3 linked regions of the Schizosaccharomyces pombe genome follow. The gene in region 3 interacts genetically with the main gene of each other region. Each region holds a gene or a part of one and is shown on either strand. Other genes may lie near its edges.

Region 1 (3,618 bases), on a different chromosome or scaffold from region 3:
TTCGGATTCTCGATTGCTGAAAATATTCAATACCGCTGGTATAATGTCTGCTTTCTTTGTATCTTTTATGGCATTTAAGACTTCTACGGCATTGTCTTTATACTGGACTACCTCTGCAATTTACTCTTTGGTACAAAACGTTGCATTGAGAAAGCTGTTATAGAAGAGCAAGAGTAATTCTACATGTTTGGTTCTGAAAGGTCTTAACAAAATCAAACCTGACTAGTCGAGACTCACATATTATTCCTTCTTTCTTTCCGTACATAATTACCTACATTCTTATGGTAAAGCTAGGTTTTTGATTTGTTATGGCCTACCAAAAGGAAAATCTTTTGTCACAAAACATCTGATCATGGCAAAAACTGACTGAATTAGTAATGAAAAATAAGATACTTTATTATTAAAATGCCAAATAATATTTAATAAATATCATTAGTATTACAGGCTTGTTCGTGTGACATGAGTTTGGCATTTCAAGGATGACTACCTGCAAAGCTTTTTGAGAAATGCAACCTCGCCGATTACTCCATTTTTAAGGAAGAATTTAACTATTGATTTCATGTAAGTCGTTTTTAAAATTTACATTTTTTTTAAAAACATTTGACTTATTCACACTGTTTATTACGTTAACTACGGTAAATTTCGATAATTTTCCCACTTGCACATCCTTGACTTAAGCTAACCACCACTATGAGCTGCATATTTTGTAAAATTGTTAAAGGAGATATTCCTTGTGTGAAACTAGCTGAAACAGCCTTGTCTTTGGCTTTCCTTGATATTGCTCCTACATCTAAGGGACATGCACTAGTTATTCCCAAGGAGCACGCCGCTAAGATGCATGAACTGAGCGATGAGTCTTGTGCAGATATTCTTCCCCTTGTCAAAAAGGTGACAAAGGCTATTGGTCCTGAAAATTACAATGTACTTCAAAACAATGGTCGCATTGCTCACCAATTTGTGGATCATGTTCATTTCCATATCATTCCCAAGCCTAACGAAGAATATGGATTAGGAGTAGGCTGGCCCTCTTATCCTATTTCTCCTGAAGAAATAAAGGCATTGGGCGAGGAAATCAGCTCTAAGATTAAATAGTTTTTTTTTGTTCTGTGTGTCTCGTTGAATCGAAACTTTCCTTGACTTGGCGAGAACTATAAGGAAAACATGAGCCCTGTCTTTGTAGAATAGGCTTGTGTTTTTCATGAAAGTCGTTATTGGGTGTTGTTTGACGTTTATGTTTTTTAGAAATGAAAAGTTTGTTTTATACACTTTTACCTACTTGTTTTACCTTTCCAATGTAAGTAGTTGCTGTTATCTTTGCATAGTTTAAGGTGAATAAAGGGATTTTGTTTAGTAGTGTGCATACGGAATGTATGGTACAAATGTTTGGACCTGTTATTCTAGTGATTAGAAAAGGTGTGTTTGAAGAACATTGTTCAAATTGTAGTCTAAGGTCTAAATATTAATCCATGCAGGGTAGTTGGTTTCCTAATATGAGGTTATGAAACTTGCAGACGGAAAGATTAGTAAATGTGCATCAGAGAATGTTTATTTCCAGTATCATATTATTTTATTGATGACCTAGCTTGTTTTTTTTCTTTTAAGAAAATGAAAGACATCTTGCGGCGTCAACTTAAAACTTGATTGTTTGAAGAAATTTTTGCCGGACAGCATTGAAGAATTCTAGTATTTTTAACATGCAAAATTATATTTGAGCCTTTCTATCAGGGTATTGCTAATAATTGATCAAAACCACTGCGATAGTATTTACTTACCCAAAGTAACAATTATTCATCAACCAAGTCACACTTGGTTTATAGTAGCAAGCTATACTGCACGAACAAAACTTTTATAATTGAGAGCGAATTTGTGGAATAGTCAGGCTTGATTTTAATAAATCCCTATTATTATCCTTGATCTCATAAAATTTAAGTTTCTTGGGTTGTGCATTCTTTATAGCACCAATGCCAACTCAGGCTGGTTTTTGTAAATTTGCTGAATTTTCGAACATTTATTAATACAATGGCAATTATTGTGGAAGACGGTTCTTTTATTACATCTTCTCAATGGGAAAATGTAGAGGCATCTCCAAAACCTCCTCCAAGGAAGCCAAAGATTGTTCAACCAAAAAAGAAGCCATCGAAGCACTTGAGCAATGAGGATGCTTTAGAAAAATATGAAATGCTGTTTGGTGAAAGGAGAAAAGAAGTGGAACTAGATTATATGAGCCACATTGCGGAAGAAGAGACTTCGTTGAGCATGATTGAGTATGATCGTCATTTTGCACTTCAAACTGACGTGAAATTGTCAAAGAAAAGAAAATCCAAACTTGTTGAAATGACTCCTAAAGGTTTGAAAAAAAGGAAACGCGTGCAAATACAGGAAGGAAGTGTGTCAACCAATACAAAAAAGCGTATGGACGGTCATGTTGTTGGTTCTAGCGCTCCCGCTATAAATAATGGCAAAGGAAAACAACTTTTAGAAATGATGGGTTGGTCTCGGGGGAAGGGACTTGGTTCTGAAAACCAAGGAATGGTTGATCCGGTTGTGGCTGTTGTAAAAAATAATAAACAGGGTCTTCATTAGTTTTTGACGAGGAGATTTTAAATCCTCATAGTGTATATTTACAAAACATTATTTATTTAGAAGGAAAAATTACTTTTCACCATCATTTTGGGAAAGTTTCTTTTTTATAAAGAATTTTATTTTTGGTTGCTCATCATGATGACTATATAAGAAATAATAATTAAAGGAATTTTACTATATTTTACCGTTGAGGGTACAATCACTTGAAATAATTCAATTTCATAAGTTTTTCATAAAGAGAGCAATAGAAAACTGGTAAGTTGAAAAACAGCTTCTAATTGTTAAAAGGACGGAAATACATATTTGGAAAAGGGGGAAGGAATGAACAATGATGAGTGCATTTACGTTAAAAATGGTTAAGTCGAATAGGTGAAGGACAGACTTATCTTCGAAATGGAAGAAAAAAGGAAAAACAGGATATGAGAAGAGATTCAGTAAGGATTATAAATTTAAGAGAGGAAAAGGCTTCGCATGCGAGTAACATCAAAAGCAAAAAGTGAAAAAAACTGTGTATACCCAGATCGCTGTACTGTAAAGTTTCATTTGGATTCTATTGAATAAAAGCATCAGTTGATCAAACTAAAAAATCGATCAGTTAATATAAACAAAATAAAAAAAAAGAGCATTCTAAACATATTTGAGCGAATGTAATAGAAACGTACTTTTTGGAACTTTGAGTTTCTTACTAGTCATAGCAATTCCACTCAACACAAACAAAACCACAAGCGGGTGAAATGCAAAAGGTGTGTTTCCACACCACTCACCCCAAGGTAGATTTTCATGAGTCTTTCCCTTTAAGATACAAACTCCGCAAACGGTTACTAAGGAGAGGGTGGTAGGAATGGGCGTTCCTTCGAAAAACTGAGACTTGCCAGATCCATCTTTAGGAATGGAATTGACAGAAACATTAAAACGAGCCAATCTAGTTAGACCACACAAAACAAAAAGGGAAAGTATAACGGTATCAAGGAACGTTTGGAATCCACAACAAAAGGCAAAGACGGCTGGAGATACGCCAAATGAAATCTATTTTGT
Region 2 (4,496 bases), 4.0 Mb from region 3:
TAGCAAGCTATTGAGCACCTCAAATTTAAATAACAAGCCTCTTTCTCTTTCATCAACAGCACCTTCGATGCCTTCAATTGGTTCTGTGGAGTTGGGAAATATGATTCCTAAGGAAACCCAGCCGCCCTCAATGCGAAATGATTGGAAAGATTATTTAGATAATAATTCCAAGGAAATTCTCGATCAATTTGGTTTTTTACAAAAACGACCAAGTCACGACACCCCTTTATGTCCGGAGGACATAAAATTAAATCAGAAACAGACTCTGTCGTTCTATGAAAGCAATTATGGCTTGGTTGATGATTTTTTTGGCAACGAGTTAGATGGGCTCAACGATTCTCCATTGTTGCTAAATAAAAAAGATATTTTATTGGATATGAAAGAAAGTACCCGACAAAAAAACTGGAGCTTGTTTTTTCAACGCTTGTACAAAAAATATAAAATTACCGATGAGGATACAATTGGTTTACTAGGAATATCTAGCATAGGTGTTAAAGGGCGTCATGGTAAAAAAAGATGGCATAAATTTCGTGAACTTGTGAAAAATGGTGTTCCTTTGTGCTATAAAGCTAAAGTTTGGTTAGAGTGCTCAGGCGCTTATCAATTACATTCACCTGGCTATTATGAAGAACTATTATCACGTACTGATGAGGTTGAATCAGCGAGTGTTGCGCAAATCGATATGGATATTAACAGGACTATGGCTAAAAATGTATTTTTTGGAGGAAAAGGACCTGGAATCCCGAAATTACGACGAATTTTAGTTGCTTATAGCCGCCACAATCCACACATAGGCTATTGTCAAGGAATGAATGTTATTGGTGCCTTTCTTCTTTTATTATATGCTTCAGAAGAAGACGCGTTTTATATGCTAATGAGCATAATTGAAAACGTTTTACCTCCGAAATACTTTACTCCTGACCTGATGACTTCGCGAGCTGATCAGCTGGTTTTGAAAAGCTTTGTGAAAGAGTCATTACCGGAAATCTATTCCCATTTAGAATTACTTGGGGTTGATTTGGACGCCATTTCATTTCATTGGTTTTTAAGTGTATATACTGATACACTCCCTACGAATGTACGATAAGTGGTTTTGAAAGATTATTAAAGTATGAATTGTTTACTAACTACTTTTTTTTAGATATCTTTTAGAATATTTGACATGTTGTTTTGTGATGGTTATGTATGCTTATTTAGAGTTGCACTTACGATTCTAAAATCTTTAAAGCAACAAATTTTAGCATGCAATTCCTCTTCTGCCATCTACTCATTTTTGAGTGATTTGGTTCAATACTCTTTTCAACCCGATTCGTTTATTAAAGAGGCTGCTGATCGGTGGTCCAAACTTGTTACGGAAAAGAGTATTGAACGGAAACGTAACTTGGCTATTTCTTCGTTAAACTTAGCGGTCAATTATTGAGTTCTTTGTTTTGTTTTACTGGTTTGATTCGTGATCGTTGGTAAGTTATGATCTTTAATAAATAAAAAAGCTTTTTGTTGCCTCATGGGCATCTTATTCATTTTTATGTTGGGTTACTCATGAATATAATTTTTTAATGTTTTCCATCACTGTATACTATGACTGGGTTATTTTAATGCTGTTTCAGGAGTCCATTTCATTATAATTTGGAAGTATAGAATGTAAAATCTTTTTTGAAAACTCTTGTATGAAGCTAGGCAATCCATGCATAACTTTCACTTATAGTTTTTGATTTGTTTGGTTTAATAAACATAGACAGATTCTTGCTCTTCATATATTTTCCTGTATGCTATATAAACATTGCTCTTACGGTTTGTGAGGTACAACGATCGATAACGCAGTCGGTTATATTTCTAGTATATCATAAGTGTCAGTGTCTCAGTAATGTCATCCGGTGTACTTTCCGCCATACACAAAAATATCAGTGGAATTGAATTGTATTGCGACCGACTCGTAGCACTTTCAAAAGCAAATGAATGAACTTCATGATGGTGAGAGCTCTGAGGAAGGAAGGATCAATGTTGAAGATCACCTAGAAGAAGCTAAGAAAGATGACACAGGACACTGGAAACATTCCGGCACTGCCAAGCCATCCAAGTTTCGAGCCTTCATAAGGCTGCATTTTAAGGATAGCAGAAAGTTTGCTTTTTCTCGAAAGAAGGAAAAAGAATTGACGTCGGAAGATAGCGATGCTGCAAATCAATCACCTTCTGGTGCACCTGAGTCGCAGACCGAGGAAGAGTCTGATCGCAAAATTGATGGCACTGGTAGTTCCGCAGAAGGTGGTGACGGGAGTGGTACTGATTCAATTTCCGTAATAAAAAAATCGTTTTTTAAAAGTGGGAGGAAGAAGAAAGATGTTCCCAAGTCGCGAAATGTTTCTCGTAGTAATGGTGCTGATACCTCAGTTCAGCGAGAAAAGTTAAAAGATATTTTCAGTCCTCATGGGAAGGAAAAAGAATTGGCTCATATTAAGAAAACTGTTGCAACGAGAGCGAGAACATATTCTTCCAACTCTATCAAGATATGTGATGTTGAGGTTGGTCCATCTAGCTTTGAAAAGGTTTTTCTACTTGGCAAGGGAGATGTCGGTCGAGTTTATCTTGTTAGAGAAAAAAAGTCTGGCAAATTTTATGCCATGAAAGTTTTGAGTAAGCAAGAAATGATTAAACGCAACAAAAGCAAACGAGCTTTTGCAGAACAGCACATTCTTGCGACAAGTAACCACCCATTCATTGTTACACTTTATCATTCTTTTCAATCTGATGAATACCTTTATTTATGTATGGAGTATTGTATGGGAGGTGAGTTTTTTCGAGCTTTGCAACGACGTCCTGGCCGTTGTTTATCAGAAAACGAGGCCAAATTTTACATTGCAGAAGTTACCGCTGCATTAGAATACCTCCACTTGATGGGATTTATTTATAGAGATTTGAAGCCTGAAAATATTTTGTTGCATGAGTCAGGACATATTATGCTTTCTGATTTTGATTTATCTAAACAATCAAACTCTGCCGGTGCACCAACGGTAATTCAGGCCAGGAATGCACCATCCGCTCAAAATGCTTACGCATTGGATACAAAATCATGTATCGCAGATTTTCGCACAAATTCATTTGTCGGCACAGAAGAGTATATTGCTCCAGAAGTTATCAAGGGTTGTGGTCATACAAGCGCTGTTGACTGGTGGACTTTGGGTATTTTATTTTATGAAATGCTATATGCCACGACTCCTTTCAAAGGTAAAAATAGAAACATGACTTTTTCGAATATTTTACACAAGGATGTTATATTCCCTGAATATGCGGATGCTCCTTCAATTTCCAGCCTTTGCAAGAATTTGATTAGAAAATTATTAGTGAAAGATGAAAATGATCGCCTTGGGTCACAGGCTGGTGCTGCAGACGTGAAGCTTCATCCTTTTTTTAAAAATGTCCAATGGGCTCTATTAAGGCACACTGAGCCTCCGATTATTCCAAAGCTTGCCCCTATTGATGAAAAAGGCAATCCTAATATTTCCCATCTAAAGGAAAGTAAAAGTTTGGATATTACTCATTCTCCCCAAAACACACAAACAGTTGAAGTTCCCCTATCTAATTTATCGGGTGCAGATCATGGAGATGATCCCTTCGAATCGTTTAATTCAGTTACTGTGCATCATGAGTGGGATTAGGTCATTTTCTTTTCTTCCTGTAACTTGCATATTGATGGTAATTTTTCGCACGTCTATGATATTTTTCTCATCTTTTTGTTTAATCAATCCATTATTAAAAGAGCATTTGCTGACTTCATTCATTGCATATATTGATACGTTGTTGAGGCACAAAATATTTCGCTTAACTAGATTCTCCTTTTCACCACAAAGTCTTTCTTTTTTCTACCTTACTTTTACCAGATTCAGACATGCTTTCTCTATTTTCAATAGGAAGTTAAATAAACTTCTAGACAGAATATAACATATACCATTCTAATAACATATTTTGTAAAATAACCAAAAACCACCTTAACAAAATTACCATTAACTAAACCGTCTCTATATCGTAAACGATATGTGACACTCGTGGTGAAAATGATTTGACACAATTTGTAACACAAACTGTATTTTTAGCCAACATTTTTGAAAAACATGAATTCACTTCAGAAGAGTATGTTTCGATATCTTCATCTTTTACGTTCTCATGAACATGTATAAAGGAATGTGATTCTCGCTTTAAAATTGAAGTAGCGGTTGACCAGGATTTTTCACTAGAGGGGAGCATTCCCAAATTTATATGTCGAGCAGAAATATTCATTTTGGAGAACCTTTCAGCTGCATAAACGTTGCTTTCCAAAAAAACTACAATACGATGAGTTCCTACTTTAAATTCATAGTTTTCTCCATTTCGAACTACATAAATAGACCAGCCATTTTTCAAAGCAGCTCTCCTTAACGCTTCAACACTCCATGGATTAATTTCCCAGCAAAAAACTGTTGAAGCTCCCGCTTTAACGTAAGAAAATGTAAAGTACCCTATAC
Region 3 (8,777 bases):
TACAAGAAGTGTTAATGGTTACAACATTAATACGCGGTTTCAACCTCGCGTGCATGAAGTCGGTGATGATTTGGTCATTGGAGCATCTGGTTTCGAAGCCGATGCCCTAGCTTTAGTTAAGAGAATTCAACAAAGAATTGACTTGTATCATGATAATCATGAACGCAAGATGAGTGCACAATCCTGTGCTTGCATGGTACGGACACTTTTGTACGGAAAGAGATTTTTTCCCTATTATGTATATACAACCGTTGCCGGCATCGATAAAGAGGGAAAAGGAGAGATTTATTCTTTTGATCCTGTTGGCTCTTATGAGCGGGAATGGTGCCGTGCTGGTGGATCCGCTGCAAACTTCATTACTCCATTCCTCGACAATCAAGTGAACTTACATAATCAGTACGTTCCTGGTTCACATGGAAAAGAGAGAAAGCCAAGGAGACTTTTAAAATTGGAGGAAGCTATGAAGATTACTACTGATGCATTTACAAGTGCTGGAGAACGACACATCGAGGTTGGTGATTCAGTTCTTGTTAAGATTATCACAAAAGAAGGTGTAGAGACAAGAATTATTCCTTTGAAGAAGGATTAGATTTTTGTAAATATGACTTTTTTATGTTCCACTGTCACAGATATAGCTTCCTAGAATGGCAGCCTGCCTGTCAAGCTCAATTCCAATTTCGGATTGCATGATTATGTATGAGATTTTATCGGAGATATCCCTATTTTGAAAAGCCTAGTCTCAATTTATTTTACAAGTTAAACATTTTTTTTTGTCTTTGATGTACATTGCATAGTTTCATGGCGTATTTATGAATGTGTAGAGGATAAGTTCGAAACAACTTAAACTTGTAATTTTTTTAGTCATATTTATGAAAAGGATTAGTTAGGAAGTGATAGAATATTTGACATAAAAATCAGGATTTCAGTACATCAGTAATTTAAATTCCGTTCTTTGACTCTATGAAATCACTAGACGCTTGGCTAATTTATCATAAAGAAAAAATTATTTAATGATTTTACTTTTCTTCAATCAACCTCTTTTCATCCATATTTTATTTTCGCATCAATGAATAAAAATTTATGATGGGTAAGTAAATAGAATTATCTGATTTGTTATTTTGTGGGCATCACTTCTGTATTCATGTATTATTAATGAAACTTACTTAGTTTTCATTTATGTCTCTCTGTGTACTATTAATTTAATTCAAAAAATTCAGAAATGACCTGTCAAAATAGCCTCTTATGAATGCGGTTAATGTATGAGTTATTGACTGATAAAAAAACTAGATGCAGGCACCCTTGCTAAATTAATCAATGATGATGATGATTATTTTATTTTATAGCTTGACATTCGTTCTTTTTTTTAACCTTTTATTAATAATGGGTTAAATTATAACATCATATCGACTGGGGATGTAGTTTAGGGGTATAACGTTTCATTCGCATAGTTCGCACCTTGAAAAGGTCCCGGGTTCGATTCCCGGCATCTCCAATGTTAGAAACTATTTTTCCTTTTTATCCACATTTGTTTTATTTATTGACTACACGGCAAACAGGTTACATACACAAATGTATACTAGAAAAAATATAAAAGTGAATTTACTAATATAAGTAAGATGAGAACATTCTCTCAATGAATACACAAAAAATTTAAATCTATGACTTTGAGGAAGTAGTTAAAATAAATTTGTTCATGTAGCTAGCATAAATCATCGGCGTTAGAAAAAGCGGTGTAAGAATCATGTAAGTTCGAAATGTAAGTTTCTTCAGGAGAAGAATTTAGCATTTTGTGCAAATGAATTAAAGTATCTAAAGCGTTAACATATTAACAATAATTATTATATTCAAAAATTTACCAGAAAACGTAGAAAGTCCATCGATAAACAAGGTTTTTTTTATTCTTTCGAAATGCGATTTACAAGCATCTGCTGTCCATAGGTGATTAGCATATTCTGATAAGCATTTCCAATCAATCATCCGTTCCTCTGCAACATTAAGGTCCATCATTCTGAATTTAATTAGCTTCTTATTTAAAATTTTATAATTGGAGTACCTTTCAATTAACCATATACTATCGCCAAGTTTGAAAGGGGAACTATTATGTATATCTCTGGAAATTAGTGTGTAATACTTCCACCTACAATGATGACGGTGTCGATTTCTCATGTTTTTAGAAATTAGACTCCATTGAATAGGGGATGAAGGATTGCTTTGCAAGTATTGATTAACCGTTTTGATTAATTTTTCTTTCTCCTGGATAGTCCATGGTGAACGATTGATTTCACCAGGTTGAATGTAGTCGCGCCAATGATCTCTGCAATGCATTGGTAGTCTATTCGACAATTTGCCAATTAAGCTCCAGGATGTTCCATGTTTTTCAACAAGTCTATTAGTTAGTTGCAATTTGGAAAGTAAACTACATACTTTTTCAATTCTGCCTCATCTTCTATAGTCCATTTACATTTTTTCTTAAATGGATTATATTTTCTGCGGAGATAATTGTAAATACTCTTTTTATCCCTATCGATAAGCTCATCTATTATTAATTAGTAACAAGTGATAGTAATTGACTTACACAAACAATTATATAATGTTTTCATTTCATCACGATGGTTATCAGACCAAACATATTGAAGAAATTGTTCATCAGACCAATTTTTTTTCTGTTTTTTAATATTTATAATAAAACAGCAAGCTAAAGACCATACCTTTTTAAACATAGCAATTTCTTTTTCCAAAGTGATAATGTCGTTTGCTCCCCATGATCCAGACGACGCTTTTTTAACGTATTGAAACCTTTCATAACCTGGAATGTTAAAATATCCCTTAAGATGCCTATACACAGTCCTTCGTGAAACATTGGGCACTTGAATTTCTAGACTTGAATTAGCGGATTTTTTTGAAAGCACTCAGGTGTCATACGAAATTGAATGAGTAAATTATTGAAAGGTTTTGGAAGTCTTTTGGTTTTAATAAGAAGATCTCTCGCAGCCACAAAGTTTAATTCGCTTTCTTTCAAAAATTCATCAATTAGTTGACTTAACAGAACCCAAAAAGTGGGTGTCCAGTTGGTGTAATCTCTACTGAATACAAAGTCTTTATATGAAGTAGTGCCTGTTTTTTTGAAGCCTCGACATGTTTCATGGTCTTTCGCACTTCCAGCAATTGCTGTTTTCACATTTTCAGGTGATACCATAGTCTCATCATAATTGTATTCATGAAAGCTTATGGGGTTTCCCAAGTAAATGAAAGAACTTGTATTTTTCGAGTCACCAATGGGTGATAAGAGTTGATCATCGACAAAGAGCTCTTCATTGTCCTCTGTATCCGGTCTGCAACTTAAATTGTTTTTTCCTTGCATAATAATGTTCACTTGTCTGAAGAAATATTAAGAAAAAAACATTGACAAAAGGTAATCAGTATAGCAAGGGACCCGGGGTGTAATAGTTCATGTAAGACAAAACCAAATAGCGCAGGCAACTTCAATTATTCAATCTATAATTGAACTTTTGATACTTTGCAATTCTGAATTCTAATTAACTAGTGAGCCTGTTAAAATTGGGTAACATTATAGAGCGTTGGTGTAGCTAAATAGTGTACGATACATGCAGTGATGGTTTTTGAGAGCATTTTTAAAAAAATTTCAAAATTTCTTAAGATGTGACTCTCTTGTTTATGATATATACATGTAAAATTTTTAAAATAGAAAATTAAGTATGAGTGGTTTAGAAGAGTTTTTTTAGTTGAAAACGTTTACAGGTATCTGCCTCATATCAAACTTAAAAAAAAAAAAGAATAAATTAAAACGATAAAATATCTCTATTGGCTTTTGTTTACTAATAATCACTATTTTTTATCAATTAGGTACAAAGTTCCTGCCTATGTTAAAATTATTAGGGTAATAACGTGTGTCACCGATATAATTACTACGATACATAGTATTTAATAACGAAACTGTAAAGCTCGTTAACTTTCCAGTGATTACCTTAACTTTCCATCTACGTTAGTTGAACCAGCGAATGTAGCTGCCATTTACCTACTCCAGGGAACACTGTTAAAAACGTCTTTTTGTGAAAAGGAAGGAAAAATAGAGGGATCTTCAAAAAAGTTATTAAATAATTCAGTGTTTCTTTTCTTTTTTTTGCTAGCAATATACCACTGTAAGTAAAAAAAAATACACTAAAGCAATGAGTCAGGAGGACGCTTTCTACGGAAAGGGTAGTTATGGAGCTAGTAGTGGAAATTCGAATATACCTCCTCAAGGATTTCAGCCAGTTTATCCAGTTGCTGGCCAGCTAGATAATACCGCTCCTTATGTCGGGGCAGTTGCTGAGGGTACAGCTGAAGGCATTGTAAGCAATGGTGAATACGCTGTTGGAGCTATGGGTGCTGCTCCTACCAACATAATAGGATCTGTCGATCAACAACCACCCGTTTCTCATACCTCTCATAAGTCTCGTAGACAGTATCCTGCTGAGGTGTTTGAACTTACAAATACCTTAGCAGCGTCACCGGCTCCCCCTTCTCTTTCAGAGCCCTCTTACGTTATGGCACGAACTCCATCCTCTTCACCATATCCTCATGATCGCGCAGAGGTGGGAACTAAATCTCTCTCTGCACAATTTGGCGGAATGTCACTTGGAGCAGATGGTGCAGCAGCTATGCCTACCAATGAGTTAGTTTCTGTTGATTTGTACAATCAAACACCAGAAATTTCTGACTTAACCTCTCCTCCTCCTCCTATTAATTTACCCTTAAGCTATTCCGCTACTGGAGCAGCTACTTCCAATTGCCCTCCCAAATATGTTCGATCCACGATAAACTGTGTACCGACAACAAATAGCTTGTTAAAAAAGTCAAAAATTCCATTTGCATTAGTCATCCGTCCATATACTAGCTTGGTCGAAGAAGATGATCCAGTTCCAGTTGTTACTGATACTATTATATCACGATGCCGCAGGTGTCGTATGTATATCAATCCTTTTAGTATCTTTATTGACAATGGCCATCGCTATCGCTGTAATTCTTGTGGTATTGTTAATGAAGTACCCCAGTCATATGACTGGGACAGTTTCAGAAATGTCCAACGTGATCGCTGGCAACGTCCTGAGCTCAATTATGCAGTTGTTGATTTTATTGCTCCTCAAGAATATATGGTTCGTGCTCCACAACCTTTGGTTTACGTATTTTTAATTGATATTTCGTTTGTATCCATATCTTCTGGTATGGTTGGTACTGCAAGTCGTGCAATTCTGGAATCATTGGATCGCATCCCCAATAAAGAAGGACGTGCAAAGGTGGCTTTTATTGGTGTAGACAGTGCCCTGCATTTTTTTTCAGTTTCCCCTGGTGCTGAAGAAGCCACCCAACTAGTTGTTTCTGATTTAGAGGAACCGTTTTTACCCAGGAATCAAGATTTGTTACTTAATTTACGCGAATGTAGACAAGGCATTGAAAACTTACTCGAGCGATTTCAATCAATGTTTGCAACTACCCGTGATTCTAGTAATGCCCTTGGACCAGGTCTTAAGGCTGCCCATCGTCTCATTGAAAATATTGGCGGTAAAATTTGCTGTCTCATTTCGAGTCTTCCTAATGTTGGTGTTGGTAAATTGGAGTTACGTGAAGATCCTAAACTTTTGGGAACAAATCGTGAATCTAGCCTTCTTCATCCCAATGACTCCTTCTATAAATCCTTCGCGGTGGAATGCTCCACGTCTCAAGTCTCTGTTGATATGTTTCTTTTTTCTTCTCAGTATCAAGATGTAGCAACCTTAAGTTGCCTTCCTAGATACACCTCTGGTAAAACCCAATTCTATCACAGGTGGAATGCTTCCCGTAGCGAGGACGCTCTTAAATTTGCTTCTGAACTTACTAACTATCTCAGTATGGAGATTGAGCTAGAGGCGGTGATGCGTGTTCGTGGATCTAACGGTCTCCGTATGTCTTCTTTCTACGGAAACTTTTTTAATCGTTCAAGTGATCTATGTGCGTTTCCTTCTTTTCCTCGCGATCAGAGTTATGTAGTAGAGGTTGTTATTGAGGACACTATCACCAAGCCCTTTGTTTCTTTCCAAACAGCTATGCTCCATACTACTTGTAACGGTGAAAGACGGATTCGTGTACTGACTATTTCTCTTCCTACTACCAATAGTATGACTGATTTATATGCATCAGCCGATCAAGTTGCCATTGCACAATATCTTACTGTCCGGGCTAGTGAAAAGGCTCTTTCTTCTACGTTGAACGAAGCCCGTGATAGCATTATAAGTAAGCTTGTAGAAATTTTGGAAGTTTACAAAAAAAATTTGGCTGGACAAAACACCGGTGCTGCGATCCCGCTTCAAATAAGCACCAATTTAAGACTATTACCATTGCTTTGTTTAGCATTGACGAAGCATACTGGATTCAGAAGATCTAGTCATATCTCATCTGACCTTCGTTCTATTGCTCTATGTTATTTAAGTACTCTGCCAACTCCTTTACTAATGCGTTACATTTATCCAACTCTTTATTCTTTGCACGATATGCCTATTGAAGCAGGAACTGTTACAGAACAGGGTGTAGTTCTCCCTTCTGCGTTAAATCTTACTTCAGCTTTGTTGCAATCTTTTGGTTTATATTTGGTTGATACACACATTCATCAATTTTTGTATATTGGTAAAGATGCAGTTCCGCAGCTACTGATAGACGCATTTGGTGTAAACTCTCTTGCGGATTTGAAAGCTGGACGTTTTACAATGCCAGTTATAGACAACCCACTTAACGTTCGTATCAATGCGATTCTCGGTAAACTTCGTTCGTTGGATAAAGGTTCAACTATTATGCCTAGTCTTTACCTTGTACGTGGTGATGGTGATCCACAATTGCGCTCATGGTTTTTCTCTCACTTCGTCGAGGATCGTAGTGAGAACTCTCCCAGCTATTTACAGTTTTTGCAGACTCTTAAAGAGAAAGTTCGTGACTAAAGGCTGTAAAATCTGGCTACTTTCTACAAAACTTTTTTAAATTGATTGTTCTGATGGTAATATATGCCTGAATTAGTGACATGATTAATTAATAATATTCAATATGGTTAAACATTCTTTGGTTTTTTGTATTTTTAAGAAAAAAAAAATTTAAATAATTGATCTAGTAAATATACTTGGTGCTTTTTATATTGATGAAAGCTATATATGTATCAAACTAAATTAGGTATTTGCGTACATGTAGCTTCCAGCCAGCTTGTACATAAATTTTAGCTTTTATACCTTGTCTATTTTCATATTACTTGATGTTGAAGTTGTTCCAAGAATAACAAAAGGTTCTAATAATTTAATTTAATTCATTACAATTGAGTTGCAGTGTATAGATTTTCAATTTCGCACTTTAGAGCTTCACATCTTCTATTTAAAGCATAAAAAAAATATTAAATATTTATTAAATTTCATTTTCATTGCAATTAGATTATATATCCAGGCGAGTATTCACTTATATTGAAAAACTAATTTAAGAATGTAATTTTGCACTGCGGTACTAGGTGCTTGGCAAGTGGTAGAATTTTGCCTTCTGCCAAGCACTCCTAATTGTAGTAATTAGATTAGAGAGTCGAAATCCTATTATTTTAAAAAGATGGGAATCAAAGAGAGGAATGCACCTTCTCAATATAAACAATCATCTCGTAAAAACAAACGAGCATGGAGGAAAAATATTGATTTGGAGGATATCGAGTCTGGTCTAGAGCAGACTAGAGATGAGGAAATAAAAGGGTATATTAGTTTTTGCATTGTATTAATTAAAAATATTTTTATTAACTTAAAACAGTGGAAATGTCGAGCACAAGCCGAATGATGCTTTATTTGTAATTGACACTCTTGGTGATGATAGAATTGCAAAAAGAAGCAGAAAAAAAATTAAACCATTAAAGGTTGATCAAATTCTTGAAAATAAGTCTTCCATAGAAAAAGTTCATTCTCATTTAACGAATAATTCAACTGAAAGCAATAAGAAAGGAAAAATTTTTTCTAGAAAAGAACTAAATAGACTACAAGCTTTGGTGTATAAAAATAAAGATGGTTTAACCGCAACTTCTGCTGCTAGTGAGCTCAAAAATACCAAACAACCAAAGGAAAGTTATGATGTTTGGGAAACAAACCCAACAGTTACTATACCTGTTAAAAGACCTTCTACATTATCTAAACTACCCGAATCTTTAACTGAGAATAATGCAAAAGTCCCAAATGTTGTTATCGCTGATCCAGGAATGTCATACAATCCTGACGCTGCAGCTTGGATGAAGCTACTTGATACCAAAGGTTCAGAGGAACTTAAGAAAGAACAGAAAAGAATTAGTGAATTAGAGGAAAAGGAAAGAATACAGAAGAAAGCTTTTGAAGACAAGGGATTAGTTTCAGACCAAGACGTTAATCACAGCATTGATTCTGATGACCAGTCTGAACACGAACAAGCAGAAACTCCGATCCCTTCTTCGAAGAACAAACGAAAAACCAGGTCTCAAAGAAATAAGATACGCCAAAGAAGAGAGGAGGAGCTTAGATTACTTGAGCAAAAGAAAAATGAAGAGCTTCTGAGGACGATCGACAAAGCTCCTGCAATATCCAAAAAACTGCAGCAAAAGGATAAAGCTGAGAAATTCTCTAATAAGGCTGTTTCTTCTAGCACAACTGAAATCAAACTGAAGAAGAAAAAATTCGGTAAACATCGATTGCCTAACAACCCACTTGAAATAAAGTTGGGAGATGAGCTGACTAGTTCCCTTAGAGAGCTGAAGCCTGAAG

Evidence for each region.
Region 1: mutations in rtf1 (region 3) and sqs2 together harm fitness less than expected from each alone (positive genetic interaction), as found in Schizosaccharomyces pombe (one large-scale study listed by BioGRID).
Region 2: mutations in rtf1 (region 3) and ppk14 together harm fitness more than expected from each alone (negative genetic interaction), as found in Schizosaccharomyces pombe (one large-scale study listed by BioGRID).

Annotation. Positions count from the first base shown.
Region 1 is NC_003421.2:1,790,311-1,793,928, reverse strand, and holds sqs2 (G-patch type RNA-binding protein), read left to right. Parts: upstream 1-1,854; 5' UTR 1,855-2,019; coding exon 2,020-2,583; 3' UTR 2,584-3,118; downstream 3,119-3,618. Other genes in the region: protein Cox18, read left to right, coding at 1-163; hnt1 (adenosine 5'-monophosphoramidase), read left to right, coding at 691-1,092; CDP-diacylglycerol-serine O-phosphatidyltransferase Pps1, read right to left, coding at 3,158-3,162, 3,246-3,609.
Region 2 is NC_003424.3:768,671-773,166, forward strand, and holds ppk14 (serine/threonine protein kinase Ppk14), read left to right. Parts: upstream 1-1,869; 5' UTR 1,870-1,952; coding exon 1,953-3,653; 3' UTR 3,654-3,996; downstream 3,997-4,496. Other genes in the region: SPOM_SPAC4G8.04 (GTPase-activating protein), read left to right, coding at 1-1,078, 1,142-1,420; tRNA 4-demethylwyosine alpha-amino-alpha-carboxypropyltransferase Trm12, read right to left, coding at 4,003-4,496.
Region 3 is NC_003424.3:4,795,568-4,804,344, forward strand, and holds rtf1 (RNA polymerase I termination factor Rtf1), read right to left. Parts: upstream 3,561-8,777; 5' UTR 3,362-3,560; coding exon 2,923-3,361; exon of another isoform or gene 2,876-2,922; coding exon 2,709-2,875; intron 2,664-2,708; coding exon 2,576-2,663; intron 2,537-2,575; coding exon 2,425-2,536; exon of another isoform or gene 2,387-2,424; coding exon 2,054-2,386; exon of another isoform or gene 2,009-2,053; coding exon 1,857-2,008; intron 1,810-1,856; coding exon 1,700-1,809; 3' UTR 1,628-1,699; downstream 1-1,627. Other genes in the region: 20S proteasome complex subunit beta 6 Pam1, read left to right, coding at 1-589; sec24 (coincidence detector Sec24/Sfb2 subunit), read left to right, coding at 4,188-6,968; rRNA processing protein Rrp16, read left to right, coding at 7,612-7,748, 7,804-8,777. UniProt on the Schizosaccharomyces pombe protein: Mediates site-specific replication termination at the polar replication barrier RTS1, a barrier which ensures that replication of the mat1 locus in S.pombe occurs in the centromere-proximal direction.